Stegostoma tigrinum: one gene and its partner. The protein of the gene in region 2 binds, or shares a complex with, the protein of the main gene of each other region. Links are inferred from orthologs where the notes say so. Each region holds a gene or a part of one and is shown on either strand. Other genes may lie near its edges. The genes, in order: troponin C, skeletal muscle-like; troponin I, fast skeletal muscle-like.

What was found.
Region 1: the proteins of troponin I, fast skeletal muscle-like (region 2) and troponin C, skeletal muscle-like are in contact, whole or in part, in a crystal structure (PDB 1A2X), measured with the Oryctolagus cuniculus proteins. The link is inferred for Stegostoma tigrinum from reciprocal best matches to the Homo sapiens genes TNNI2 and TNNC2. Residues at the interface, in NP_001076252.1 of Oryctolagus cuniculus: Glu5, Asn8, Arg9, Ile11, Thr12, Arg14, Arg15, Gln16, His17, Leu18, Lys19, Ser20, Val21, Met22, Leu23, Ile25, Ala26, Glu29, Leu30, Glu33; in NP_001076114.1 of Oryctolagus cuniculus: Ser13, Glu15, Met16, Ala18, Glu19, Ala22, Lys91, Leu96, Glu98, Cys99, Arg101, Ile102, Phe103, Arg105, Ile119, Phe120, Ala122, Ser123, Glu125, His126, Val127, Glu131, Ser134, Leu135, Asp138, Phe152, Met155, Met156, Val159, Gln160.

The regions. Positions count from the first base shown.
Region 1 is NC_081372.1:51,800,740-51,816,889, reverse strand, and holds the start of troponin C, skeletal muscle-like, read right to left. Parts: upstream 8,080-16,150; 5' UTR 7,974-8,079; coding exon 7,971-7,973; intron 5,698-7,970; exon of another isoform or gene 5,620-5,697; intron 1-5,619. UniProt on the Homo sapiens protein: Troponin is the central regulatory protein of striated muscle contraction. Tn consists of three components: Tn-I which is the inhibitor of actomyosin ATPase, Tn-T which contains the binding site for tropomyosin and Tn-C.
Region 2 is NC_081370.1:22,088,752-22,104,160, forward strand, and holds troponin I, fast skeletal muscle-like, read right to left. Parts: upstream 8,204-15,409; 5' UTR 8,098-8,203; coding exon 8,068-8,097; intron 7,971-8,067; coding exon 7,839-7,970; intron 6,575-7,838; coding exon 6,485-6,574; intron 2,679-6,484; coding exon 2,496-2,678; intron 1,438-2,495; coding exon 1,348-1,437; 3' UTR 1,281-1,347; downstream 1-1,280. UniProt on the Homo sapiens protein: Troponin I is the inhibitory subunit of troponin, the thin filament regulatory complex which confers calcium-sensitivity to striated muscle actomyosin ATPase activity.

The DNA of each region.
Region 1 (16,150 bases), on a different chromosome or scaffold from region 2:
GCAAGGTGTAGAGCTGGATGAACACAGCAGGACAATTGTGCTCCTGAGATGCTGCTTGGCCTGTTGTGCTCATTCAGCTCTACACTTTGTTACACCAGATTATAGTCCAACAGGTTTATTTGAAAACGCAAGCTTTTGAAGCTCAGCTCCTTCCTCAGGCATAGTGTATGGAAGGAGCTGAGCTTCAAAAGCTTGCGTTTTCAAATAAGCTTGCTGGACTATAACATGGTGGCATGTGATTTTTGGCTTTGTCCACCCTGATCCAACACCGGCGCCTCCATGTCATAAAAGGGTTCATGCATCAGAGAAACAGACATTCTCCAGCTGTGGATAAGCTAATTTGAACATTAATGTTGTCTTTAGGCCTCTTGTGACAAAGTGATAATGTCCTTCTGTCTGAGCCAGGAGAACTGGCTTCAAGTCCCACCTACTTCAGATGTGTGTCTTAATGGAATTGAACAGGTTAACTAGAAAATATCAATGCTGTCTATAAAAGGCACACACTTTAGAGGCTGCACTGAAAATACGCTGTGTTGGCTTTGTGTCATGGCTGGTAGAAAAGTTGCCAATGTTGGCCAAGTCGGACATCACAGCTGTGGGTGAGGTGGCCTCCAGTACCTTCAGCCTATTATTGAATAACCAGTGCATTCTCTGTGTGCCTTCACCCCCAATGTCTGACAGACAGTGCGCCATGCAGCCTCAAACCAGTAATCAGATGAAGTTCAAATTCTGAACTGCACCCGTGGTATGCAATGGCGCCTTGGGTTTGAAAAGATAGTGATGAGGCCTGTTGTGGAGTCATGTTTGAAGGGTTTTTTTATATGTATATTTTAGATATCCAACAAAACAAAATCAGGAAGAGACTGTTCACGCTCTCAAGCACCTTGCTGTATTTGGTGTTCTCCTTTACCATAACTGATCCATAACTTAACTGCATCCAAGTTTACAGCATGTCTCATTTAGCAAGTGGACCCAGTGTTGTACCAATCCATTCCTATGCTTCTTTGGGGTTCATTTCCCTAGATAGTTCCGTTAACTGCTGCTGGGACAGCATTTAGATAAACACAGCATAATGCCCACTTGTTGGAAGTATTGCTCTTCTTGTCTTCCTTAGTTAGATAATGTTAACCAAGAGTAGCTATTTGGAAGCAAGGTGAACCCCTTAAAGTATTCAAACTATAGTTTCCCATCCAGACTGCAATCTATACTATCCAGTTAATTCATGATGGGAGAACTAGCCATCACATATCCTTTGACAGAATGCAATTCCCGACTAAAATTTAGTCAGAGTCAAACGTCCTCCTATTTTCACCATCTAACTTGTGTTTTCTTTTAAAACACAATCTTTCTTGGGAACTGAGTGTCCTTGAGACTGGTCATGTCTAATTGGTCCCAAGAAAGTCTTAAAGGAAACTTTTCAACTACATCTCTGACTTATGGTCGACATTTTTGTACTTCAAGGCAGTTTTGAACCCTAGCAAATATCTCAGCCAAAACCAGGATGTTACTCAGGCTAACAAGCAGGAAGACTGACCGAGATCAACTTGGAAGTTTCTGTACCCAGGGATGATGTTACTTTCATCGAGGTCTGATGTTTACAGTGTTAGCCCATTCCCCAATATGATGTAGTCTTATGTTGTAGCCTTCTCATTCATTTTCCACTTTACATAAACTTAAATGCTTTAGTTTCTTCTGAAGTGGATAGTTTTTAATTTTCTTTCCTTATTATTATTGGAATGATGCTTGACAAGCTCAACCAAGCAATGTTGTCCATATTCAAAGCAAGCTGAGAATTATCAAGGTTGGCCCTTAAGACCTCTTAAAATGTAACTCTTAAAGTTAGGTTTCCTGTCTAGGCAGTGGTCATACCTAAAATCAGAACATTAAAAATAGGGAAAAAAGTGGATGAAAGAAAAGGAAATCTTTTATTTCAGAACTGGGAGATCCTTTCTATGTGTTAATTATCTTGATATTATATTGAGAAGTACTTCAAGCAAGAAACAGGTTTAAGAATTGGGATGAAATGATGCTAATGCTCTTCACAGCTGTCAACTCCAAAATGAAAACAGAAACTGACTTTTGTATCTAAATCTAGTATGGATATGCAGCTCATCACCAAGCCATTCAGAAAGAACAGAGAATCATAAAGTCAGTGTCATACAGCATGGACAGTCCAAGCAGTCCATGTTGAACATAATCCCAAACTAAACTAGTCCCACCTGCCTGCTCCTGGTCTATATCCTCCAAAACTTATCCAAATGTCATTTAAATATTGTAATTGTGTCAACATCCACCACTTCCTCTGGAAATTCACACCACATGCTAACCACCCTCTGAGTAAAAAAAATGCCCATCATATCTTTTTAAAATCTCTCTGCACTCACCTTAAAAATATGCTCCCTAGTCTCAAAATACCCCATCCTGGGGAAAAGGCACTGACTATTAACCCTCCCTATACCCCTCATGATTTTATAAACTTCTGTAAGGCCACCTATCAACATCCTACGCTCCAGACAAAGGTCCCAATCTATCCAGCCTTTATTTAGTACTCAAACTTTCCATACCCGGCAACATCCTGGTAAACCTCTTCAGCACTCACTCCACGTTAATAATATCTTTCCCAACAGGCACAGAAGCAAAAGGTTGATATTCTGTTTATAAATGTGATTATATCAGTGAAATTCCTATCAGCTTGACACACAGGTTTACAAAAGTGAAAATAAGTCTAGGGTCAAAGCAAGCTACAGCCATAGCTGTTGGGCACATTGATGAAGGCCAGCAAAAGCCTTGTTGTCATGATATTTGAATCAGATGCATTGCTCTTGGCCAGATCTTGCAATGCTCCTCAACTGCTTTATAATTCCCAGCTATATTACTTTAAGAAATAATTCTGTCTTGTCTCCTAAAAATTCTAAACTCACTCACATGATTTATGATTGCACCGTGGTGCCAATGATCCCAACTTGTACAAAATCTAGAGCCTAGAACCAGCTTTCCAATTGATAAGACAGTGTTATTAAGGCTTAGTAGCAATAATAACCCTGATCCATTGAACTAGTAGCCTACTCTCATTTGCTTATGTACTGTATAACCAGAGTCAAAGAGACTATCTTTCTATAAATAGTTATTCCAACAGAGCAATCTTAAAAGGTTACTACTAAATTTAGCACAGGTCATTAAGTTGCATCTTGTAACCTTTTAAAGGTCTCAAACTTCTCTTTCTCTCCTTTAGGCAATCTTCTGACACAGCCAGCTGCTATGTATTACATTATGCTGGCTTAATTCCAGCATAATCCAAACTGTTCCCATCCTTGTTGAATTTCAGGTCAAAAAGCCGAATGAAAAGATAAATAAAGATAATACAGGAGTTTAACTGACAGCTTTATGTTACATCACCTCCAGTAATTAGATTTAAATAGTCATTTTAGGTAATATGTGTATTTCCAGACACATTAGATTTCATTGCCCAGCCCTAGTTGCATATGAAAAGATAATGTTCTTTGGCTGAGTGCATTTCCATAGTGTTGTTATGTAGGTGATTTCTGCTCATTTACCTGCCAATAATGAAGGACCAATGTTATATGTCTAAATTAGAATGGCATGATTTGGATGTGATACTGCGTCCATGTAATTGTTGTTGCTACCCTTCTGGCTAGTACAAGTTGCAGGTTTAGGAGACAATATGAGTGTCTACAGTGTACGCAATAGAGAGAGTATTATAGTAACATTCATCCAAGCAAGCGAAAAATATACCATCACACTCTTCTTTCCTATGTAGTGGAAAGGCTTTGCGGAGTTAGGACTTGAGTCACTTGCTGCAGCAAGAGCCATGGCATCTATGAAACTGAACTGTGTCTGTTGTCACTAGTAACTCTACTGTGTTCACCCATGCAAAAGAATGACCGCATTCATTCTTTCGTCAATTTAGTTAGTGGTAAGGATTTGATCCCTTACTACCTACTTTTAACATTGCTGCTTGTGGGCAATAGGTTGTCGAAATATAAACCCAGACAATCTTGTAGTACCTTTTTGAGGTGCACTATGCCGTGACAATTTTGTCTAACCGCTCAAAAATGAATGGACTGATTCTCCAATTTATGCACAATGTAAAGTGCACAAGAAAGGGGAAATTCCAATCATGTTTAACATCAAGAACAGCAAGTGGTCATTGTTAAGGAAGGGTAAAAAAGGCAGTGAATGTGTTGAATAATTGAATTATAAAAAACAGTGGGGCACCTTACAGGCCTTCATTCAGTTAGGTCTGCATCTCAACTTCTCAGATACTGAAGCAGTCTGTGTCCATATGCAGCAACATCTGGACAACAGTCCAACTTCAGCTGATGAAGTGGCAGATAACATTTACACCACAAATGTGCCAGCAATTACAATCTCCAATAAGACGGAATCTAATCATAACTTCTGGATTTTTAATGGAATAACCATCACTGAATTCACCAGTATCAACATCCAAAGAGTTACCAGTGACCAGAAGCTGAGCTAGATTAGCCAAGTATGCTCTGGGTCAAGTCAAGTTAGCTTGGAACTCTGCAGTGATTAATTCACATTCCATCTTCCCAAAACTCCCTTTATTATTTATAGGTCAGGAGTATGATGGAATACTCTACTTTGGCCTGGATGAGTGCAGCTCCACCAAGAAGCTTGACACCATCTAAGGCAAAGAAACCAGAGAGTCACCACATCTACCACTGTCACCATCAATACACACTGGCAGCAAAGGGTACCATCTTCAAAATGCACTTCATGATCTCACCAGCAGCACTTTCCAAATTCATGACCTCTACCACATAGAAGAACGAGGGCAGCAAATACATGGCAGCACCACATGCAAAGTCCCCTTCAAACAGTACCCGACTTGCAACAGTTCCATGTGAATGGGTCAAAATCCACGATTTTCTTTCAGCACTGGGGGGGGGGGGGGGGGCGTGCCTACGATCTCACGCTTGAAACCTCACCTTAAAGCGCGTTAACAGTTCATTTGGGAAAACAACGAATTCGAAGAAATGAATTACTGCCAGAAGAGAAATGGGGTGAATAAATGATATCAGAACATTTGAGCATTTTCGTTTCATCCTCTCATGTTTACCTCGTCTCGGGTCTCCAATTCTAAACAAACAAAGCAAAATGATTATATCACATATCCGCTTCTTTCAACTCGGATTTCAAGACGGTGGCCGAATTGAAATGGGTTGGAAAAGTTCTGTCTTGAAGCAAAGTCATAGTTGGAGTAACGGGCAGGTGGGGGCTTCTCGAGTCGGCACTGAAACCCAATGTATCTCAAGCAGTGGAGTAGCTCAGCTTCATCTTCGCTCAATTCACACCAGTTATAACGCACATTCACAGAAACGATCTGCACTACGACTGAAGTAGAACTTTGCAAGGCTTGCCACTTCTTGGCACTGATTTCAAATAGACAGAACATGTTAGAGATGTGCAATGACTTAGCTAGCTGCAGGAGAATGATGTGCTCCGCAGTGAAGTACAATGCAAATAGCCTCAAAAGGCAGAAAGAACGGTGCGCATTTGAGTTCCTGTGCCACTTTATTCCCACCCTAACTCGACTGATTTCGACGTACACGGATTGAAACGAACGGTTCTTACCTCGGCTTTTTTTTTGGACAACCTATACTCCTGACTTCAGCGGTGGCGACAGTATGGATGCCACTTGGTCTGTAAATTTACCTCGGGAATCCAGCCGACGTCGGCTTTCTCCAACAGCAAATCAGATTGCGGTAAGATAGGAAGGGGGGGTGGGGTTGTTGAGGGGAGGGAGAAGAATTTTGCTGAGAGCGCAAAAGAAAATGTTCAGGAAGTAAAAGGTGAAACGGAAAACATCGGGATCATCCAATGGGGGCGGCGGGGGCTGCGGGATGGTGGCTGGTGTGATTTTAACTTATTCTTCGGAAACTGACCAGATCCGGTGGAACGCCGATTTTACGCACCACCAGTTCCGTTCTATTGGTATAAATGGAGAGGAATATTGGGCGAGACTTACAACTCGAGTCTCGCCTGATTGTGCGGGTTCCTCGCCCATTGGCGAGTTGTCAAAATTACTGTTGAGTATCGCGTTGAACAGTTGAATCAAGTTTCGCTCGTCTGCAGGTTTATATCGAAAAAATCTTTGTGACTGTGAGATGCAGAACATTTGAAATTGGTTAACGTTTTGCAAACCACATGTAGCTCATTTGGAATGCTTAACTGCCATGTAAAATTTTAAAGCCAGAACTCCCAGAATATTGGACGAGAGAATTTTTTTTAAAAAAGGTCTCGTTTAAAATTCTATGTTTAAACGAACGCACGGCGTTTGTTTAACGTGCCCCGTTTTTATGATTGAGGTGAACGGATCAAAAACTAAATGTCTCCAATTAGATACAGACCAGATTTGAGGAATCAGTGGGTGGCAGTAGGTACCACGGAGAGAAGGTAAGTGATTGGCATAGACGAGAGATCTTATGATGGAACAGAAGATGAGATATTTTTAACTGCTTGAAGGGGTTCTTCCCAAAATGGGGAAATCAGTCTTGTCTGAAGACTCCTCCTGTCAGAGGTTTAAATTAGCCAGGAGAGAGTGTGGAGTTTGAAGACATCAGCAAGTTGAGATGGCTTGGCTGTACTCTTCGGTTCACTCGATACACTGTCACAGTGAGTGGTTCAAATATCTGACTGAACTCATTAAACAGAAACAACCAAACACCACGATGCAAATAATCATTTCACTGCGCATTCTACTTTCCCCTCTAATACAAATAAAGGCGATTGTCAACAGTTTTTAGTCGGAGTAGTGCACGCGCCTTGTCATCTAAAGTCGGCGACAGTTTGTTCGGAATTATTCCCGGGAGTTTGAGAGCTCCGGGTGACTCTGCACACGCTCCGTTGAAACACATACGTGTGTAACCTGGGAACGTGTGTCCGCGTTTCTCCTCGTGCTTTGCTGCAAGCATTTCCAAATCCGCCAGCCCATTAAAGGTCGAGAAGGCGGAAAACTCGGAGCTCCCTGATGAGCGACGGCCTTAATCCAGAAACTTTAGCCACAGGAATGTGCCTCGTAAGTGAAGAAGACCCCCTTTCACTCTATTTATAACGCGAATCTTCCGCTTTTTATCCGTTTCGTTCCCTCTTGCAGGTACTAGAGGTCGGCGAGAGCTCTTGAGGAACCGTGCTCACAATTCACGGAGAAATTCACAGAGAGAAACAAACAAAAACGGGAAGCGATCTCTTACTTTGTAACATCATTTTGCTTGTTTATTTTTGTTTGTGGCAGTTAAGGCGTCGACAGTAGCAACGTTGATTCGCGAGTTGTACTAATCTGAAGGTTTATTTTGTTTACTCTGGTGGCACCTGGCGTTTTCACGCTATAGCTGTCAAATGATGTTAGCAAAAGCATATCCTTAAAATAAATTTCCCTTTTTTATACCAGATAGCTACATCTCTGAATTTTTAATGTATTTTTTAAAGAAAAAGGTGGAAGGCACATTGTGCATTTTCTTCCCTTTGCAAACATTTTATATCATGACTATGTCCAATTGCAAGGTATTGTTTTTCCACCTCTAAAACAAAACCCCATAGCAATATCCAGGCTACTTTGTTGAATTCTCGCCGTGAGTCCCTGCTGTTTCCGCATTTGCTGGTTTTCCGGAACTCGCTAGCAGGTAATATGGTTTTGTTGTTGAAGACGCGCGACACCAAGTACCGTGTACCGTTACTTTTTGTTTTGCTTCGTTTGGCTATAATGTACTTTCCACCTTTTATTTTAAAGTAGCTGTTGAACTTTAAAAAAAGAAATTGGACATCTCGAATTGTGCACGGAGACACTGTTCGCCGATTTAAATATATATATATATCTTACTCTATCTTATTATATGCGCTACAGGAGCGAAGCGGGATGATATCAGCATGACGCTGGAATTAATGAAACAACACATTGGAAACATGAATTTAATGTGTATGCTTACCATTGTCCTGGCTTATTAGGGCGCCACAGAAACTCAGGTTAAATTGAAACGCCTCTCCTCCACAACTCCTACTAGAAAGCTAATCTTTTTTCTCCTCAGCTTTTAACTTGCCCTCTTTCTTTAATTGGCCGAATATCCAGTGAGATTTCAGCATCTCTGACCTGGCTTGTAGAAAAACCAATAGTGAGATTGCGAGGTGGGCACGTGTCCTCTTTTTACAACCGGGCGAGGGTGGGCTCTGTCCGAAACAAGCTATATAAAGGGACTGATCGAGGCCCCTCAGGTATGCGATAGATCCAGTTTGTTCGTTAACTGCCCGTCATTATTTAACTACAAAACATTTGATGATAATAGCTATTCTCGGGGCCACGTGGAGCACTGTACTCATCCTGAAATGACTCAGTATCTTGGTCATGTACAAAGATCGACCCCACTTCGGGCCCCGAGATCAACAGTGTCCCGGATCAATCGCTGGTGTTTGAACCAGATATCTCAATGATAGGCTTTTCTTCCCGTAACTAAATCCTGGAAGTAGCAGTGTTTGAATGGGCAAATCGACACTTCGATCTTTTTATTCCAATAACAATTTTGAAAGCTGGAGAGAGTCCTTTTCTAGGGGCCATTCCAGGTTAAACCTTTACTTTTCTGTTGGATCGTTCATACCCATGCAGCGGCCGTCTATGGCTGCGTTTAACAGTTGAAAGAATTTTAATAGGAATCCCTGCGATTACGTAAAGTCAAAATGCTGTGGCTGCTGGAAGCCAGGAACTGCTAGGAATTCTGAGCGGCTCTGGCCAAATGTTTGGACAATTGGAATGAGTTTCAGGTCCTGCTGTCACGAAATCGGCCTGTTTAACAAATCAAATCAGTCATCAGATTCAAAACGAGCCAAACAGTATCCAAATGCAAACGAAGCCCAATTCTTCCTCAGCATGGAATTCAGGGTGAGTAAGCGAGATTGGAACAAGTCCAATCCTATGAAAATGCCACGTCGGAGCTGGAAAGGCACCTTAATGGCGACGTTTAAATAATCATTTGCTATATTGCTGTATTTGCCTTCAACCAATAAACGTAGCATTTGCATCCATACAGCACATTGCTTGACTTCGCAAAATATATTGATGCACTGTACTTTGGAAGCACAGTTAGTGTTGTAATTTGGGAAAGTGGCTATCAGCTTGTAGAAATCCCACAAACAAGAAGATAGTGATATTGATAGTGGAATAAGGCTACTGGAACAAATCACAAACAAAAACAGAAATTTCTGGAAAAGCTTAGCAGATCTGGCAGTATTTGTGAAGAGAAATCAATTTTAGGCCATTCCTCAGAAAGGTCATCAGACCCGAAACGTTAACTCTGATTTCTCTTCACAGATGCTGCCAGACCTGCTGAGTTTATGCAGCAATTTCACTTTTCATTTCTGATTTATGGGATCCACAGGGTTTTTTTTGGTTTTTATTTACTGGAGCTAATTCCCCTGCTCTTCACAACAACAGTCAGAAGTCACACTACACCAGGTTGAAATCACAAGCTTTCAGAGCCTAGCCCCTTCATCAGGTGATGTGAGAGAGTAGCACACAGTCACAGAATTTATAGGCAGAGAGATCGAGGGTGGAGAGATCAAATAATCATATAAATGGCATGAGTGGAGGCTCGAGTAATAAGTCTCTGCAGATGATCAAAAGTGTCAGACAGTCTGAGTAATGTGTCAGCAGCTGAATAATAAGTGAAGGGATGACTTATAATCCAATTAAATGAGGCAGAGATATAATTACAAAAAAAAATTAATATCAGGTGGTGCTGGAGACAAACCAAATGACTGGAAAAACATGATAGGTATAAGAGTTGCATGCCGCGGGTGTAACCAAATTAATAAGTAATCCAAAACTGTACAGAATAATTAAGGTAGAGAGAACATAACAACTTATTAAGGTGATGGTGTCAAAACAGCAATAGGGTCACCAGGCCCAAATGTTAGCTCTGATTTCTCTTCACAGATGCTGCCAGACCTGCTGAGCTTTTCCAGAAACTTCTGTTTTTGTTTCCAGTAGGGTGTTATACATTCACTAGAGGTGGCAGCCAGATTCTCAGTGTAGAATCTCATCTGAAAGAAAGCAACCCCGTCACCACCTCCCAAACATTGCTCTGGGGTATCAAATTGATTTTGTGTTTTATATTAAGGATCTGAAATGAGATCTGAACCTTGAACCTTTGATGCAAAGGTGAATGTGCGACAAACTGAAGCTGAGCTAACACCAAAGCAATGAGGTTTTCCACAGAATAGTACTGAAAATTCAAACTGTCAGACATGTTGGGTGAAATGTAATTTTTTGTTTGTGTGGAGGAGTCGGGGAGGGCAGTTGGGGAAATGGCAGTTGTGGTGGTTAAGTATAGCATGCCCATCATATGATTGGTAAAAATGTTGCTCGTATTTATTTTACACATTATCATTTTATGTTTCAGAACCAAGCCAAAGTCTGTCTTTATATTGAACACATTTTTCTTACAAGATATCGACTCAATTCTTTAAATTTCAATACTGTTTATTTCATTTCAATCAGTAGTTCATGTCCCTTCACATACATGCCCACACTTTTATTAACTGTTTAAAAGATCAGAAGAAATCTTAGATAATTGTATCATTTTTGCATTTTGTGCATTGACATTTTCAAATCCAAATGAAGAAATCACCAACAGTCTCTCAGATAGAAATGATCCCATTACGGGTGTATTTGTATATATTTGGTGTATCCTATCTTTTCTTCTATGATGGGCAAACTTATATTTATCCATTGCATATCTGTATATTGCTGGGAATGTCTTATAAGGGTATATCTGTTTGATATATGATACTTATGCCTAAACTTGTCTTTGAGGAGTTTATTTGCACATTTTTATTAGGAATATACCTGCCCTTGAGCTTTTGTTCATTCATGGAATGAGGGCGTCACTGGCTAGGCAGCATTTATTGCCAATTCCTAATTGCCCAGAGGGCTGGTAAGAGTCACCTACATTGCTGTGGGTCTGGAGTCATGTGCAGGCAAGTCCAGGTAAGGATTGCAGTTTCCTTCCCTAAAAGACGTTGGTGAACCAAGGGGTTTTCTTTCAATGGATTCACAGTCATCATTAGTTTCTTAATTCCAGATATTTATTGAATTCAATTTCCACCATCTGCTGTGGCGAGATTCAAATCCAAGTCCCCAGAACATTATCTAAATCTCTGAATTAACAATCTAGCGATAATACCACTAGGCCATTGCCTCCCCTATGTGTGGCAAATATAACTAACTATATCTGGCTGTGAAGATTTTTTCTGCATTAGATAGTGACAGGTATATTTGTAATTGTAAGTAATAAGGATTTCAGTGCATACCTGTAATGGACAGTTTTAATAATTTTATGTGGAAGAATATATCTTTTTTTCTGTTATCTGTAAACTGTGTTTGTCTGATTTTGGGTATACGTTACCTCTCTAAGATTAGCATAATTTTACTTCTCTATGGCTAGTGTACCTGTGTATGTCTATGTTGTTTTTTGTTTCATGTCTTTACAGGTGTACCTGTATTTGGCTGTGATAGATATACCTACATTTGCTAACTGCAAGTCTACCTGTATATTTCTGTGATGTATATATAAGTATTTGTCTTTGACACAGGTACATGTTTGTGATGGGTATGTCTGTTTTATTTGTGACAGGGTAAACCTGTATTTATGCATGACATGTGTACCCCTAATGTTCATTATAGTCTGATCTATATTTGTCTGTAATGGGTTCCTGTATTTCTTGTAATAAATTATGTTCCCAGATCTGCCAGTTATGGGATCTATAGATGTGATGTGATGGGTATATTTGTATTAATATTGAGGTGGTACCTATGTTTTTCAGTGGTGTGCACATGTATTCGATTATGACATGCATACTACTTTCTGTCTTTGGCTATACTGCTAATTGCCTATGACCTGTTTGCTTGTATTTGATATTGCAGGTTATTTTGTATTTTTGTGTGAATTTTTACTTGTTATTATTCCTTAATTATATGCTTGTATTTGTCTATGACATGTATGCCAGTACAGGTGTATTTGCATTTTCCAACATGTTTGTATATATATATTTGCTGCTACGTTTGTATGGCTTTTTTTTGGCTGCATACCTGAATTTTCCTACTAATGGTGTGATTGTATATGCATCAAAACAATTATAATTGTACTTGTGGTCTGATTTTTAAAATAACATTACATTACAGCCAACGCAGAACAAGAGTAATCAGGTTGTTCCCACTCTTGAGTCTCAATCTTTACATTAGACAGATGTCAACTCAAACATTTCTGCATAACAAACAAAATAATCTTTCTGCAGAATATTGCCATAACTTTACCACTTAGCACACAAAACGATAATAAGTGAACAAACAATATCTTGACTTTCATCCTAAGACAGGAAATTTAGTCTTTAGTTTAATCAAATTAGATTACAATTTATGTATTTATTGATCCAGTACTTTCATGTGTGAACAAGATATCAGGAACTAAAGTCAATTTTCAAGCCTGGTTTCTTGTTACAAGCAGCTGCCATGCATTTTAGAGATACTTTTCAAAGGAGATAAGTCCGGAATGTTTGAGAGGACAGGCGGTGAGTGAAAGGGAATTCACTGCTGACAGTGTGATGGTTGATGACAGCTGGGCCATGAACAGTGAAGGAGATCAATGCCTGCTTTTCTCAGCCACATTCACAAAGTTCAGTTCATGTATCTTTTTTTTTCAAAGGTACCTATGTTGCATTCAAAAAATTTACAACAAAAAGATAAGAACAAGTTATGTTATATAAAACACATCATTAAACATCTTATTTTATTTTATTTATTCATGGGATGTGAGCATTTATAGCAAGTTCAGCATTTTTACCCATCCTGAATTGTGGTTGAGAAGACAAAGGTGAGCAGTTCCTTTTTGAATATCAAAGTACCTGTGGTTTAGCTAAATCCATGTACCCTTAGGAAGATAGTCCCAGGCCCTTGAGTGAAGATTAGTAAAATAACAGTGAGATATTTACACATCAATATCGTGCATGGCTGAGAATACAACCTGCATGTTGTGGTATTCTCATATGCTTCTTGTTCTTGTAGTAGTAGAAGTGATGGGTTTGGAAAATGTTGTTGAGCGAGCTGTGATAGTTTTTTTTTCTAAACTGATTCATGGGATATAGGTGTTGCTAGCTAGGCCAGCACGAGAGAACATCCCTGATTGCCCCATCAGAAGGTGACAGTGAGTTGCCTCCTTGAACTGTTGCAATCCATGTAGTGCAGGTACAACTAATAGATCTTTTTGGGGAGGAGTTCAAGATTTTGAGCCAGCAATAGTGAAGAAACAGTTATATGTTTCCAAGTCAAGATGATGCAGATAGTGGCACTCCCCTCACCCCTGTATCTGCTGCCCTTGGACTTCTAGATGATAGAGGACAGAACTGTGGAAGATGCTGCCCAGGGAGCTTTGATGAGTTGTTGAAGTGCATCTTGTAGATGGTACACACTGCTGCCACTATACATTAGTAGTGAAAGGAATGAATGTTGAAGTTGTTGGACACAGTGATAATCAAGTGGACTACAATGTCCTCGATTGTTGAGGTTCTTGAGTGTTGTTGGAGCTTCGTTCATCAATGATTGACCTCCAACAAGCACAACCATCTTCCTTTTGTGCCAAGTATGGCTCCAAATAGTAGTTGCTGGCCCCTGCCATGCTCCCTAATTCCCATTGACTTCAGATTTGCTAGGGCTTCATGATGCAACACTTGCTTAAATGCTGCCTTCATGTCAAAGTAATCACTGTCAGTTCTCTCCTTAATTTTAACTTTTGTTCATATTTGGACCAAGGCTGTATTGATGTTAGGATCTGAGAAGATCTAATAAAATCCAAAGTTATTATTGAGAAAGTGCTATTATACAACACTGTTGATGACAGCTTCCATCAACTTTCTCATGATTAAGAGTAGACTGATAGGTTATGTTTGGCTGTATTGGAACTATCCAGCTTTTTATGTAGCAGACATACTTAGGCTATTTTTCACACTGTGGAGTAGATGTTAGTGTTGTAGCTGGACTGGAATAACTTCACTGAATGAGTGGCTAATTTTGAAGAACACTTCAGTTCTATTGCTAGAATGTTGTCAGTGCCTTCAACTATTTTTTGATATCACATGAAGGTGACCACAGGAAGATGCTGAGATGGATTGTGAACTCGGTTTTCTAGTTCAAGATAAATATAAATGCTTCAGCCTTGTCATTTGTACTGATGTGCTGGGCTCCCAAACATTGGGGATGAGGATATTTAGGGAAGACCATCCTCCCCTTCCTCCAGTGATGTTGCTACAGTGTGTCAGGTAGATGATATAGACCGCTGCTAATGTGTCAGTGACAAAAGCAGTGAGTGGATGTGTTGATATATTGAATTATCCTGTTCAAGCAAGTTATGACACACCTCTGCTGCAGATAGGACTTGAACCCATACTTCCTGACCCAGAGGTAGGAACACTGCCACAGCACTAGAAGAGGCTTAGAGTGAATGTATACAATGGTGAATGGAGTGTTCATCATGTGGACTGCTTTTAATTGTCTGCCTTCTTGAGTGTTTTTTTTTAAATCAAGACGTATGAAGAATACACCATTACCATCCGAGACTGTGCCTTCTAAGTCATGGAATAGCTCTGGAAAATCAGAAAATGAGAGAAGGTGGGTTTCCTGCCACAGAATTTTCAGCCTCTGCTCTACTTTTGTAGACAAATAATGTATGTAAAGGCTAGAGACTTGTTTAGTGAATGGCGACCTCAGAATATTAATAGTTGGGGACTCAGTAACAGTAATACCATTACACATCAAGGGTTGACTCATTACCTGACAACTGTGTGGTGCAATTGTAATGTGCCACAACAATAATTGTTGCATGTGATCATCAATTGCTTCAGTATTTGAAGAGTTGTACATGGAAATTATAACTGTACAATCATCATCCCATCTCTAACCTTATGATTGAGGAAAGGTCATTGATGAAGCAGCTGAATATAATGTGACCTGGGATATTGCTCTCCTTCATCAGGATAACGTCCTTCTATTAAGATACCCCCAAAACTACAACCATCTTCCTTTGAGCTGGGCATAGCTACAACCAACAGAGAGTTGAATTCAGTTCCCTTGATGCCACACCCAGTTGAATACTGCTTGGGCGAACAAAGGATATACGCTCAAGATTCTGGAATTAAGCTTTTTTTGTGTGTGTCTTGGGAGTTAGAAGCCACATTTTAATGTAATGATGACAGAAAATGCTGGAGAAACTCAGTACATCTGTCACCGTCTATGGAGAGAGAAGAACAGAATTGACTTTTTGAGTCTAATAATTCTCCTTTGGCACCGAGAAACTCTAATGGGTCTGTTTTTATTTCAGATTTCCAACATTGGAAGTATTTTGTTTTCATTCACACACTTTAATGTGAATGATCTTGTATAGCAAATTTAATTGACGATGTGACTCCGTTTTCCACCACTAACTCTGATCTGGTGTCTTTGTTGCTGATAGTTCTTCTTTGCGGTGAGTGCCTTGTAAGAGGTAACTTTGGGCAAAACAGAACGACTTATTCCTCATATTTTTATCTGATGGTCCAGACCCGAAACGTCAGCTTTCCTGCTCCTCTGATGCTGCTTGGCCTGCTGTGTTCCTCCAGCTCTATGCCTTGTTATCTCTTATTCCTCATATAAGCCTTTCACTAGTGGCCTCACAACTAATCGTAGTTGTACTAATTTATGCTTTCTGGCTTTCTTAAATGTTGCCAGGACTTTGAATATTTGTAGATTTAGTCAAATGGCTTTGCCTAATAACAAAAAAGTTTCAAACTTCTCCAAACCGGCTCAGAACATGAAATGTTCACTGGCTTGGGATAATAAAATGTGAGGCTGGATGAACACAGCAGGCCAAGCAGCATCTCAGGAGCACAAAAGCTGACGTTTCGGGCCTAGACCCTTCAACAGAGAGGGGGATGGGGAGAGGGAACTGGAATAAATAGGGAGAGAGGGGGAGGTGGACCGAAGATGGAGAGTCTTCAGGACATGGTCTAGCAGTTTCAAGGCCGAAGAGATTACAAGAGAGTTGCAATGGGAGAGAGATTCCCTGAGGTTGGTCCGGACGGAGGAGGGTAA
Region 2 (15,409 bases):
ATGTTGAAAATGGACAATCGCATACCAGAGCTAGAGGTTAGGTTCTGCCACAATAGGTTCCAAAACTATGCATGCAACCTTCCAGCAAGTTGCTGTGTAGCCATAAAAATGCTACAGCTCCTGACAGGTTGCAAACTCCATTTCAAACATTGAGAACATTGCAGTAGAACACTGGTTACTCCCATGTGCATTGGCATGAATGTCCTACATTACAGCAAAGTTGACCAAGAAAAGCTTCAGAATACTCATGTTTTTAAAAAAAACCCTGATTGGAAGAGTTTATTTACACTATAACTTTAGATGAGCAGTACATAGATCATAAAATAAATGTTTTTACAGTATAAAGTTATTATTTACCTTTTTGTCATCTCTAAGTTATGGATACTTAGCTTTACATACAGGGCTTTCGAGAAGATGTATGATGGGTCATAGTTTTCTGTCAAATATTAATGGAGTTAATGGTCACTCACTGTTGTTTATTGGTGAATGATTCACCAATTCTTGATGAGGGAAAGCATGAAATTCACAAAGCTTTTCTCTATCTTGAACTGCTCCACTGTTAACTTCACAAAGAGGATATCATGTCTCACTCAGCAAAGAACTGATTATGGTGAAGTTGCTGTAGTTACACAGTAGAAGGAAACTAAACTCACCCTAGATGGTTACATCCTGTTCATTTGAATTTAAGCTCCATTTTAATGACACGATAATTATTAATTATTAATTATGTCAAACTCTGATCTGGAAAATTAATTATTGAATTATGAAGTTTCATTCTTTACTGTTGAAGATTAAAATTAAAAAAAGTTGTCACTTTCCTTGTCCATTTCATTTTTTCTCTCTAAATCCATTCTTTTTCTCTCTTTAATTCTCTTTCTGTATTCAATTTGGCATTGAATACGCACACTAACTTGCACCTCCTTCTCAATCCTTCCATTATTAATTTCATTCTCTTCACATCTGACTGACAAATGTAGTATGCTAGAGCTTGTTCTATTCAGCAAGAGTCCAGATGCCCTGTTTCCTTCACAGCAATGTTATCAGCTTGCATTTTCAGCAACTTGGACTTCAAAATATCAGCATGATTAAATGGGCAAAGGCAAGCCCAACAAATAGCAAATGCTGTTTAATGCCCAGCTACAAAAAATATCAAGTAGTAAAATATTGGATTGAATTCAAGCTAATTCCCAGCTCCTTTATTCTAACTACTGTGTCATCCTCTTGTTCCAAATAGGACTAACTAAATCATATATATATTTCCAATAGTGATAAGGACAATGTTGACCTACATATATTTTATTACAAATACTAAATGCAATACAGTATTTGGTTACATGGTGACAAGTTTTATTCAGCACCCTCAAACATCTTCTTTCTGCCTTCCATTCCGGCCTTCTCTTCAATGTTTTTACGCCAGTCTCCAACATCGCGCAGATCCTGCAGTGGGAATAATTGGTGAAGTTTAAGGATGAAGTTGGAGCAAAATCACAGCTCAAGTTATGGATTAACCTCTCCTCCATGGATTTGTTCCTTCTGACTTTCAAACCTTCTAATCTTTGTGGGACAAAACTATCTCACAAAAAGTATTTACTCACTAAGCTATCGTGAACCTATCAGAAATTATGGATAAAATATGTGAAATGAAACACTAAATTTGTCTGGAATCAGTTCATTCAACACAGGCAAAGGCTGCAGTTAAATATCCCTGCAGATAAATATGGGGGTGCAATGGTATTTGGATAGGAGAATGCAGAGTGGGTACATGGAAAATAAACCTCTGCTGATTTTCTCCTCTTCATCTAGTGATGATAAGCTAAACTCTCAGACCCCTATTAATGCTATCAGCTGAGATTAGAAACATCAGAACTGATGAAGAACTGAAGAACCCATTGAGTTTCTGTTCTAAATTCTGTTCAGAATAGTGGAGAGATGTTTGAACGGTTTTGGAAGCTGTTTATTGATATTGGGCCATTCTCCACAATACTAAACATGGACTCATCGGACTTCATATTTTGACATAATAAAAAGTTATTATGCAATAAAAAAGTTTTGTTTTGCTGCTTTCATGAGAGGAATATGTTAATTTATTGAATTAACAAAGACATGGGATTTCATTGTTATAAAGATGCAGCATTTTGCAAGTGCAAAAGTTAACTTCAGAAGGTGGAGAGGGAGGAAGAGGTGATGTTGATCTATAACTATATATGGATTTCCTTGTGATTGACTCATTAAGATTAAAAAAAAACATTCATGGATTGGCAATGCAGGCAAGGCCAGAATTTGTTGCCTCTTCAAAATGCCCTGGAGAAAGTGGAAACGATCTGACTTCTAAAATAAATTGCAATCTGTGGGATGTTGGTACATCCAAAGTTCTGTTAGAGACAGAATTCAAGCAATTTGATCCAATACTTGTCTTTAAGTGGCTAGTACGCAGGTATAAACTATCAAAGGGAGAAGTGAAATTTCAGCCATCATTTTCAGGAATGTTGTCTTACCTTCTCCTTCTCAGTGTCCTCTTTCTTCACTTGTTTCAGATTAGCTCTCAAGTCCATGGACACCTTGTGTTTGGAGCCCAGCAGAGCGCGTAGCATGGCATCAGCAGACATACGGACTCTCTTGAGTGGTGGCCTCTTGAATTTGCCTTTCAGGTCAAAAACTTTCAAGTTCAGGTCGTCAATCTGCAATATTGATGAGTTCCGAATAAATATTTACATAGTCCTCAAGCTCACCACTTCTCCATCTCTTGCCATACCTTTTTCTCCTTTAAGACAGTTCTTAGAACTGACTCAGAGATAGTGTGAACTGCTGATGCTGGAGAATCTGAGATAACAAGGTGGAGAGCTGGATGAACACAGCAGGCCAAGCAGCATCAGAGGAGCGGGAAGGCTGACCTTTCGGGCCGAGACCCTTCTTCGGAAGTCTGAAGAAGAAGGGTCAAAACCCGAAAAGTCAGCCTTCCCGCTCCTCTGATGCTGCTTGGCCTGCTGTGTTCATCCAGCTCTCACCTTGTTATCTTAAAACTGACTAGTTCTTTAACTAAGCTTTTAGTCACCTGTATCTCTCATGTGGCTTGCTTACCTCCTTTATTTTACAATGCTCCTGTGAAATGCTTTGAGACTTTTGTTATATTAAAGTCACTATGTAAAGACATAAGCTGTTGTTGTAAATGGATCAAACATATTATGGGATGCAAATAAGAGATGCTCCACAACCTTAGGATTTCCTTCATTCTCATTGTGTTGAACTTGGATTTGGAATGTCTTATTCATGCTTGAGGAGTTTCCACATCCCAATCCCAGTTTATTTCCTCTCATTATTTATGCAGGGTGAAGTCCTGATACAATTTGCAAAGTTTTCAAGAGTTAATCATAGTCAGAGCATTTAAAGGGAGAAGAAAATTCCTGATAATTTTCTAGAAAATGCTATAAAAGGAACATTCAGGGAGGGCAAGCCTGCTTAAAAAAAAACAACAAAGTTTAACACCTCTTATTGATTATTTCTTGATTTAGTTGTTGGTGCCATTCTGGAAACTTGCCTTTAAAATTTTTACATTAATCCACCATCAACATGCTTCCCAGTAGATGTCATAGAATTATAGAATTCCCACAATGTGGAAACAGACCATTGGGCCAAACAAGTCCACACCACCCCTCTGAAAAGCATCCTACCCAGACCCATTCCCATAGCCGTTCTCTGTGACCTGGCATTTCCTATGCTAATCCACCTAATTTACACACCCCTAGATGCTACCCTGCACATCGTTGGACCGTGGGAGGAAACCGGAGCACCCAGAAGAAACCTATGCTAAGTGTAACATCTTCCCATATCCAAGTATAACATTTTCCTTCAATAGACCCTTACAAACTTTGGTACTCAAAGATGATAATATTAATCAAGAATACAATAAAACAAGCTTAGTTTTCTGTTACTTCATACCAAAGAATTCTCCTATACAATATGGAAATTGTTGCTCTATTCTGCTTAGAGAAAATGCAATGTTGATCCTGTTCTAAAGAATGCAACTTAGTTTTTCATTGATCACACTCAGTATTCTATTTATTCACCACAGAACTTCATTGATTTTTATCAAGTGGATGCTTGAGTAAAGATAATAAACAAAAATCGATTATGTATTGTAAGAAAACAACTGACTTTGTCACAATCATTTGAAACTTTCTCATGGGCATTGTGAATATTTTGCTGCACTACTATAATGCATTCATCATCCCTGTATCCTTGTGGAAGTGATTATGTTAAAAAATGAGAGAAAAGTGGAAATACCAGAACTACGTCTGTCTCTGTGCTGTGGTCATTTTACTTCAGTGAGCAAGTTTGATACCATTTTTCCTCAATTCATAGTTGCAAACAAGTATTCTGCTTTGCATAGTGTAGAAATTGGAACATGTTGTGCTTATTGCATGTACCATAAATGTAAAACATGCTAATTTAGCAGTGCAAGCAATTGCAACCAATCATTGTATCCTTTTTATAAGCAGAAAGCTACCTAAAATGGGAGCTTGATGCTGTGAATATGAAAGTGAATAGTGTAACACATACTGAAAGGCCCAGATACAAAATTTGTTGACTGCTTGAGGAGCGTTTGTTGGGTGTGTCCTGTCTAGGATTTTCCAGTGGCCAAGGTCATTGCCAACTGAAGTAAATTTTAACCTCCTATTCTAATACAGATTGTACCTACCTAATCTCACACTCTCTGGTGCAGCAAGTTCTGGGATCCAGCACCTGCAGTAATTCCAGTTTTCTAAACAAAACACATTTTGCAGTGCAGCAAGGAAGATTTCCCTGCATTTAACTGTTGAAAGGTAGTTTAAAGAGCAATATGCAGGAGTTCTCAGCTTTGATCACCTCTCCCTCATCTTCACAGATTTATACCTTGCACAAGTCAGTACTTTCAGCACTGTAGAAGAGGGTCAGGAGTAGAGAAAGAATTTGTTTAATAACACCCGTGCTAACCCTGACATATCACCTTCTGTAGTCTGACAAAATACACTGTCTAATAACGATTTGCTCCCAATACTACTGGATTAGGGAGGTATGAACTGTAGTCTGTTACATGAAACAAAGAGAAGCAGAGTGCCACTCCACCACTTTTGCACATCCCTTCCACAACTCCACCACTCCACAATCCTTGTATTGGGCCTGCATCCTCATTATTGCCTGTTATAATCAGGTACACCATTTTTCTAGTGGAGTACGCTTCCTCTGGAGGCAAGTATGGAATTAATGCCCAAACGGCACGGTGATAAAGGTTGATTCCCTAGGCCTGAACATTTACTTTGTTTGATTGTCTCTGGGCACAGGATTGCCCAGGTTGCATCTTACACTGGGATTGGGGAGCAGCAAAAGAGTGAAGCTGCAGGGCCCAAAGACTAGCAGTAACTACATGAACATTTACGACCAATAATTGTAAAAAAAGGAGGCTGGAATAAGCCATGTAGTCCATGAAGCCTCCTTCATCATTCAGTAAGATCTTGGCTGATCTGACTGTGGTCTTAACTCCACTTGCCTGCCTGTGACTCATAAACCTCACTCACTTGCTGATCAAAGATTTGTCAAGCTTGGTCATGTACATATTAAGTGGGAAACAGAATTCCAAAAATTAATGACTCTTTAACAGAAGAAACACCTCCTCATGTCAGTTTGAAATGAGATACTGCTTACTCTTAAACTGTGCCCTTTAGTTCTAAATTCTTGAGAATTTTCATTTCTGTTGGAAGTTATTGAATGCTCAGACTACCTGGTTCTTTTTTCAGTGTTCTACACATACAGAGAACCTCTAAATTGCTTAGATATTTGCTGCAAACCTATCTACACAGCTCTTGGAGGATCTCTTGGGTGTCCCTTAGGTGAAATTGGAAATGCTGCCAACTGCTTCTCTTACAATTTTGTATTAGGCCAACATCTATTACACAAATATTGTGTTTTACAGAAGTTTAAGGAATCAACAAATTTTTACTCAGATTAATTTGATGGGGTTATACCCATGACTAAGTTAATCAGCCATTGCTTTGTGGATGAACAAACTGCTGAATGAGCATTTCTCATTTCACACTTTCTCATGTTATGTTCTATTAACAAGATTTAAGCAAAATTGTTTAATGTGAATAATGCAGATTAGGGCTATGAATCACTTGGCACTTCTGCGGAGAAGAAGATGGGATGCGGTGTAAAATGAGCTGCTAATTTATTATTAGTTCATTTCACAACTTCAAAGCCCTCACCAGTGATTACTTCATGATTGTCATCCATAAGTTGATTTCTTTTTGTCTCCTCAATTCTGCCCTTGTTCCCAATATAAATGCTTTACGTTACCGCTCATTCATATGTTGCAGCAACGTGGGTACAGGTTTAAGTGTCAAAGGACATTATATTGCTTAGTGCTTTGTATCAATCTAAAATGTTTCTCCAAAAAAGAACAAACGATGGTGAGGGTGCTTGTGAGGGGTATTTAAAAAGGTGACATTACCTCTTTGGTGGTCTTAGCAACTTTGGATTCCATGTCATATCTCTCCTCATCAACAACATCTATCTTTGCATGAAGTTTCCTGCACAAGTCCTGTTGAGACAGACGTGAGAAAGTTCAACATTGCAATAACACTGGCTCTTTTGTTTCATTGTGCTATTGCAGTGTGGTTTTAAGCTCACTCATTTCATAACTGGGATCGACAAAAGGCCTTTTGGGAATTACATTGGGTGGACCAATAAGTTCAGATCGGAAGAAATAATTGATTGCCAAGTGGTATTAAAGAGCTGGAAGAGTCAATGAGATGTCAGCACGAAGGAGATGAACCATTGGGCCTCAATTTCCTTGGGAGTACTGCTGCGTCATTGTCGTTTTATCAAAAGCGGTCCAGAAACTCTGTTTGCACTAAATTCCCAGCTAAGGTACAGAAGGGGAAGGTTTTTTTGAAAAGGCTTATTCAAAATATATGCTTTAACTGAAATAGGTTCTCAAGGCAGTTCCCACAAAGGGAAATGAAAATGTCTGCTTCTACCAATAAAGCAGCCTTTTCCTCTGGGTCCTCCTGCAGAACAGAATAAAATCCCTACAATATCGATTGGAGTCATTTGGCCCCTTGAGTCTCCATGAGAATCGCACCCTATCCCTGTAATCCCTCATTTTTGCCGTGGATAACACATTTAGTCTGCACATGCCTGGACACTACAGAGCAATTTAGCATGGCCAATTCACCTAAACTGCACATTTTTGGACTGTGGGAGGAAATCCATGCAGACACAGGAGAACATACAAACGCTACCCAGTCACCCATGATTGGAATCAAACCCATGTTCCTGGCACTGTGAGGCAATTGTGCTAACCACTGAGCCACCGTGCCGCACTGATAGTGATAGTGAGTAGACAGTGAGACCTTGGAAGCGGACCTACTTTTCCAACTATGGTGTGGGCTGTTCAATGAGAGATGCGTTATAAGAGAGAAAATATGGAAAAAAAAGAAAATTTCTTGTGGTTGAGATTTGTGAATTACTGTATTAAATTTTACAAATTAGATCATTTGGTTGTTAAAGACAACATGGATTTGAGTGCATGTGAACACAAAAATCACCATCATAAAATATATTTGTTTAGCAAGTCATGGGTTTGGGACTGTATTCAAGTGATATAATTGATAATTAAAACAGTATTTCCCATTTTCTTGGTGAAAGTACAGATAATTGCCCAGACTGTTAATGGAAAACATTCCGCTATGTTGACTTGGCCAAAGAATTTTGTCCATGTTCCCTAATTGCAGATAATTCAACTCTACAATCTAACAAGGAGAAACATAGATGGATTTTTCAGAAAATGATTTTGTATTAACCTGCAGCTCTGCCATTGAAAGCCCAGAAGTCTGCAGATGTCCACAATGTTCTTCCATATACCTCTCCTTCTCTGCTACCCGATCTGCTTCTTCCTTCTCAAGTGCAGCTTTGGCAAGGGACAGCAGTAAACTCTAAAATACATAAGAAATGCAAGTTATATGAGAAACTATTTAGACATTTCACATTATACTCAGGATAAAGAAAATGCATAATAGGCTGAAAAGTTACCTTCAGATGCATTCTGCGAGAAGAGGTCATCTTGGATTTTTTCTGTCATGATCAAGGAACAGAAAAAAGGGAGAAGGATCGGAAAGTAAGTTAAAAACAGATTATTTCAAATGGTTGGCAGAACAAAGGGACATGCTATTAGTGTGAAGTCTCTTACAGTCAAACAAATCATCTCAGAATTGCATTCCAACAAACCATTTTCCAACAAAACTACACTATTTTAAAAGCCAGGCTTCATGTGACTCAACCACTGGACTTATTCCATCTTTCTCCCCAAAAAGAAACTGAATAGTGATGCCTTGAAGACAGCAGGGATGGCCTAGGTCCAATGTGTCAGTTTCCTGGTATTATCCCATTCTGGGTCATTTTCCCAGAGATATGTTTGGGGACATAGCCTAGGCTGGGCTACACACTGACAGGCATCCCATAGGCAATTCTCCCCCTCAGCATTAGAGCGAGGTGGAAGGGCCAGGACTATGCATACAAGCCACTGGCCTCACTGTGGAGGCAATGTTCCTTCAGAATGGTGACCCATTCTGAAAGTATATAAATATTTTAATTGTTAAAATAATGAAAAGAGGCACCTCCTGTCATACTTATCTAACAAGACAATCTACTGCTTGATCAGTGCAAAAGACCCTCCCCAAGCGCTCAAGCTTCATTAGACTGCACCATTCTTAGGTACATAGCAAACCTCCTCATTGGTCAGTTTGAGCAAGACTACAACTTGCCATATACAGCGCAGGCTTCTGATAGGACAGTCTTGAATCCTACAGATAAATCTGCTCTTTAACAAAGATCTATACTATTAAGGTAATAAAATGTGAGGCTGGATGAACACAGCAGGCCAAGCAGCATCTCAGGAGCACAAAAGCTGACGTTTCAGGCCTAGACCCTTCATCAGATGATGAAGGGTCTAGGCCCGAAACGTCAGCTTTTGTGCTCCTGAGATGCTGCTTGGCCTGCTGTGTTCATCCAGCCTCACATTTTATTATCTTGGAATCTCCAGCATCTGCAGTTCCCATTATCTCTTATACTATTAAGGTTACCATTTAACGAATAATACTTTACTGTTTAAAAATATTGCTCTGCCGTATATTCTCATGATTATCCGTGAAGTTTTAGTTGTTCAAACCCAACCAATTTGTCTTTCACCACCATTGAAGAGGCTGTTACACTTTCAGTCAGTTCAATTTAGATGTTAATGTAATTAACTTGAGTTCAAATGTTTCCATGGCAATTTAAATTCAGTTTGAAAATAGTCAAAAAAAAATAAAAATAATGACAGTCTTGCATATCCAAGCCTATGGGATGTGGCTTACTGGTCAGCTCTGTGTTAAGCATCACCCAGTGTGATTCACGAGTACCATTGGCTGCCTATGCTACATTTAACACGAGTGAATGCAGTAGGTTCAGTCAGTTGAGATCTTTTTCTTGCCTCTTTCAATGTCCTTCTGGCTAGTAAGCCTCAAGGTTCACAGCGACCATTGTCTCTGTCATTGTCCATGTTCACTATTATCATATCTTTCCTGCAGGGTTTGTTGCAGTGGAGGTATGGACTTCCAGCAGGTATTGACACAGTGACCAGTTTACCATCCAGTATGGCTTTGGACATACATCTACTATCCAACTAATGAAACTGGCCCAGCCGGCACAGATATTGTTGATCCAGTGATGAGCAAATGCTTTGGAATAAACATATACCAGGACTGCTGGGTTGGTGCCCCCCCTGCGAAAATATGCCACGGTTATGCCTGAGAAAGCAAATGTGGGTGCTGCTCAGTGTTTTCATGTGCATGGCATGAGTTGTTCAGGTTTCACGTCGAAGCGGGGTAAGGTGAGAAGACTGGCTCAGTAAACCTGCAGTTTACTGTGCTCAGTCAGCTTGCTGCTGTTCCATACTCTGACTCCACTTCAATAGAACAGTTACAGCTTTCATGAGGAGTGTGTTGACTTCAGCATCGAGTGACAGATTGTTGGGGATTGTGGAGGCTGGATATGTGAAACTGTCAACAACCTCCGGGGTCACATTGTGAATACAGCTGATGAATGATGTTATGGTAAAATTCCGGACTATGACATGTATCTTGCTGATGTTAATGGTCAAGCGAAATTCTTTAGCGGTTTTAAGTGCTCTGTCCATTTGCCACTGAAGCTGTTTCTTGATATGAAATTGTCGATCAGCATAGGATAAATCTCTGCTTTGGGCATGACAGCCCCTTTCCTCGGATTTCAGATGGGCAAAGCCGAACAGTTTTACATCTGTTTTGCGATGTAAGTGCAAGCTGTTAGTAAATGATCACAACGCATATGACTGCAGTAGTATGAGGACACAACACTGTTTGACCCACTGCAAATCTCAAAGGTTTCCAGTGTGACCCTTCAGAGTTAAGTGAACCTTACTCCTCATATTCTCATCGAAAAGAAGATATTATAGTCAGCAAACTTAAGTGGCAGCCAATTTTCTCCAGCAGCCGAACTATGTAATCAGTACTCCCTTGGGTGAAAGTCTTGGCAAGGTTAATGAAGGAAATGTATAATGCTTTCCTTTGTTCATGGCATTGTTCTCACAGCCACTGGATGGAGAAGATCATATTGATTATAGATTTTACAGAACTGAAATGACACAGGAATTTGGGATAGATGCATTCAACCAGGATCTGTAGTCTGGCAAGGGCAACATGGGCAAATACTTTTCCCAGACTGCTTAGCAGGGAGCTGCTTCGATGGTTATAATCACTGCATTCACCCATGTTCTTGTGCAGGATCACAAACTTAGCTTCATGTACACATGGAATAACTACATCCTCCCTCAAGCAAGGACACATTCATGCTTGATGAGTTCAAGCAGTATTGTGCCATTACATGCAGTTTTTCGATGACAAATGAGTCAAAATCTTCGCTAAGTACATTCACTGTGGGTTTAGCATACAGCTGTTGCATGATGGACAGACTGTCTATGGCTTACAAGATCTCCCTGATGATGGTGATTTACCTGGAGTACAACTAAAGGCAGTGTTTCACCCATCTCTCCATTGATTTGTTGTAATCAGTGCTGTCCTTCTCTATCTTTGGTTTTCATTAAACCATTTTCTTGGCTCATGGGCCTATTGTATTTTTGATTCCTTCCTACATACCCCGGCACTCCCTGTATTGGAACAGGATCCAGTTTGGAACATTGTCAAAGTGGTAAGCAGTAGTGATCGACAGTAGTAATCTAGAAGTCTATTGGACTTCACTTCAATCAGCCTGGAGTAGCCAGTCTTCTTGTCTGAATTTCATTTGTAATTTCTGAGAATAGATCACCTGACTTCAAAGATTCCGTATGTAAATCAACATTTTAAGATAGCTTTACTGTCAAATTGTTTCTCCTGCAGAGGTGAGGAATGTCATTCTGAAGCTGGGATTAAAGCGTTAATTATAAATTGGCTTCCACTTTTCGACTAAACCTCACTATTAAGTGTTGTCTTCAGGTAAAGAGCGTTGAAAAATTGAGACAAAAATAATTTGTCAGACAAAATAGGGTTGAATCAGTTTACATAATGATAGAATTTATATGTATTGTCTTGGGAGCCTGAGTAGACTATAAGTTCAGGCCATTCATATCACTTCTATCAAAATTCAAGTATGAAGAGGTTAAATGAGCACCAAAAAGAGGATCAAATTTTAAGACAATTCTGCACTGAATGATTACTGAGCTGTGCTGTACCTACTGAAACATAAAGAAAGCAGTTAAATAATATTTTAACTAATAATGAACTGCTGAGATGTGATACAGCTTGTGTCATCACCAAACAATGGATGATTCTATCTTAACATCGCCTGATGATAAAATACCTAAGAATAAAAACAAAATTGCTGGAAAAGCACACAGGCCTGGCAGCATCTGTGAAGGAAAATACAGAGTTAAAGTTTCGGGCCCGATGACCCTTCCTCAGAACTGATAGGATAGCTAAGACTGATCACTGATCTTAACAATTGGCAATTTACTGAATCATAGTCACTTTGCAATCAGCAATCTGAATTTAAATGTAATGTGACCAATGTGATGATAGCAGCATGTTGAGTGTCCGGAAGATACCCTTTTTGCAACCAGCAAACAAAGGGGAAACTGCTTGAGAAATGGTACAATATTTTTGAGACCAAAGGAAAAATAAATGTGTATCAACTGAATACAAAAGCTTTATTTAATACTTCCAAGTGTCGTGGAAGTTGTGCATCTAACCTGAGGTAAACTCCAGAGAACTGGCGACAGCAATAAAACAGGGCCTCTGTTATCTTGCAATTCTCACTTTGTTTAAAATAAGGCAGATTAAGAATCTTCATTCTAGTTACAGATTTTTTTCTCTGATGGCTGGGAAGAATTTGCATAGCCTCATGACTTGAAAGCAATGATTGTTGGTTATATGGTTGAGGCCCAGTCTGTTCTTCCAGGAATTATTCAGAGAATAGATACGCACACATTATATAACAAGTGATTTATAAGGATTACCACATGTGCCCTTCTATTGCACTTAGTGCCTGCTTCTGTTAAACAGCCTATGTAACTTGGCCTACCACCTTTAGAGATTTAAAGATATGATTCCCTGCCATGGGTTCCTGCACGCTGCTTTAAAATTTGGCATTTAATTGTAACACTGAAGCACTGAGCTCAAGTAAGATAATTATTGCCCTCATATCGCAGTCTCTTGACAAGAAACAGAAAATGTAATTGCAGATTAACAGACTCTCCGTCATCATGTTGTGGATTCTAATTTCATAGCCTACCAAATTTTATTCTTTTTGCCTGTCAAGTAACTGAGGTTTCCCATTGCACAGTGCCTGAGTATCAGTCACCATCTTCAACAGAAAGGAAGAAATAAATGCAGCAAGAACCAGTCCTTCATTTCAAATGTTCATGAAAGCCAGCCTGATGAAAGATCATCAAACTGAAATGGCTCTCCTTCCACCGATGCTGCCAGAGCTGCTAAGTATCCCTAGTATTTTCAATTCTTACTTCAGATTTCTAGCATTCGTTATATTTCACTTATGCACTCTATGTCCCTCGTAATTCATCAGCTTCATTTGCACTATCATCACCATCTTCAGCAGCAAAGTCACTTGACTTAATCTGTACATTGTATAGCTCTACACGCAGCCCAGCTTTGGAAGGATGATCTTTATAATTGGTCTCATGGGTCAAGTGCAGAAAGCACAACCATTTCCCATGCTCACTATTGTGGTAATTTACTACGACAAAAGAAAAGTGCTTTGCTTGTTCACACAGATAGTATTAGATTTCCCAGATATTTTAATGACAGCATTACTCTATTAGAGCAGAGAGCACTATTTTGAAATGATTTGGACAGCACAATGAATGGAAGCTTTGAGTTATGAAAAAGATTACATTCATTCCAGAAGTATCAAACAGCCACAAACACTTTGCAATGGGATTAGCACCCAACATCTTACCTCGTCACTGTAAAGGAAAAGAACAACTCATTAGAATCTGCACAAAGTTCAAATTCTCCACATTTCATTGATTATCACCTCAAAGATATCAGGTGCCAGAAATGTATAACTTTAGCTAGAGATTAAATATAGTTTTACAGCTCTTACATTACAGAAACAGATTATTTGATCTGACTGGTTGTTACGCTGTACCCGAGTCTCTTGCCAACCTGCTTTGTATAACAATACCACCCTATCCTTCTATTGATTTCCCTCCTCACATAATTACCTAACTTCCCCTTACTCAAATCAATGCACTTGCTCATAATTTTCCACATTTGTACCATCTTTGGACAAAGAACTTGCTCCTGAATTTCCTACTGAAACTAATTGCAACTATTTTACGTTTATGACTTCCATTTTTGCTTTCTGCACAAACAGAAACATTTTACCTCCCTTTTTATTATCTTAAGTGCCTTCTCTCAGATTTCTATTTTCTAGAAAAAAGAAGCCCCAGCTTGTTGAACCTTTTTTGCTGTTTATATCTTCTCAGTTCTGGTACCATTCCCAAGGATTTTTTTTGCACCTTTTCCAATATATCTAAATAATGCAGATACTAGAATTTTGCTCAGTTCTCTACATTAATCTAATTATATTTCAAAACAAGGATAACAAACCTACTTTTGTCAGTTCTATTCCTCTGGAAAAGAATGCAAATGCATGGTTTCCTTTTCTGTAGCCTTAATAAAATGTTACTTCATTTATAAATTTGTGTATTTGTACTTCCAAAATCCTTCTGATCCACTATCCTGTTCAGATTTTCATTAAATCCCAATTTAAACAACAAAGGCCCTGGATTTTGAATGAGTTAAAATCTGGCCTAATGCAAGCAGCATGTGGTCTGTTTATTCCTCCTGTTAATCTGAACTGAACATGTGTCAATTTTGAAATTAATTTCTCAGTTTTATTTCTGTTATACCAGAAATAGTACAAACTAAAAACAATTTTTTAAACAACAGGTAATACTCACTCTCCCATTTTGATGGTTGTGTTTTATGACCTGTTAATAAAAAAATAAAATTACCAACTTAGTCATTTAACTTCATGTAGCTATTTTACTGATAATGATTGATCCATATATCCTCAATGATAATATTCCTATACAAAGATGCTATTGTTGGTGTTGCAGAGATACTCAATTAATCAATGTGGAGATGGAAAAGAAGATCTCAACGTTGAAGTATTGGCTGACTTGTAACACTTCTCAAAATCTGACCCAAGAGGGAAAGATGAGCTGTGTAGAAACTATATCCTGAAGAATGGGAGGCATTTGAAAATTAATTTGAGAAAGTGTTTCTAAATTTGGTCAGTGTACCAAGGGGAACAGGTGCACGTCAATGAGATCCTTAGGGCCAGTCATTTCTCAATCTCACACAGCCTAAAGCCAGTTGAAAGTGAAAAATACTAGTGTGCAGGAAAAATGCTGAAGAAACCAAGCTTTCACTTTGCAAAAGCTGGAGAACGTCTCCAAACTTTTACTCCCCTGCTTCTACTGATGAAAACAATTAACCAGTAAAGAAAAATGCAAACCTTAACTTTGAAATTGTGAAATTATGATGTTCTTATGTAAAATTATTAAAGTGTTGTCATTCTTTAACATCCTTTGTTGTATGTAATAATTATTAAAAACAACAACATGCTTAATTGGACATATTCTTGTGAGAGAGATTATTTTGAATAGTTTCAAAAAAAAGTTTACATATCAAATAACATTTAATTTGTAAAGAAAAATATTAAATCACAACCACAGACTCAATTTTGTTTTATTTTCTGCACAAATGGTCACAATTACATTTTAAATACTTTTGAAAAACCTTTAAATCAAAATACAAGGGCTTTCAATCATAAAATG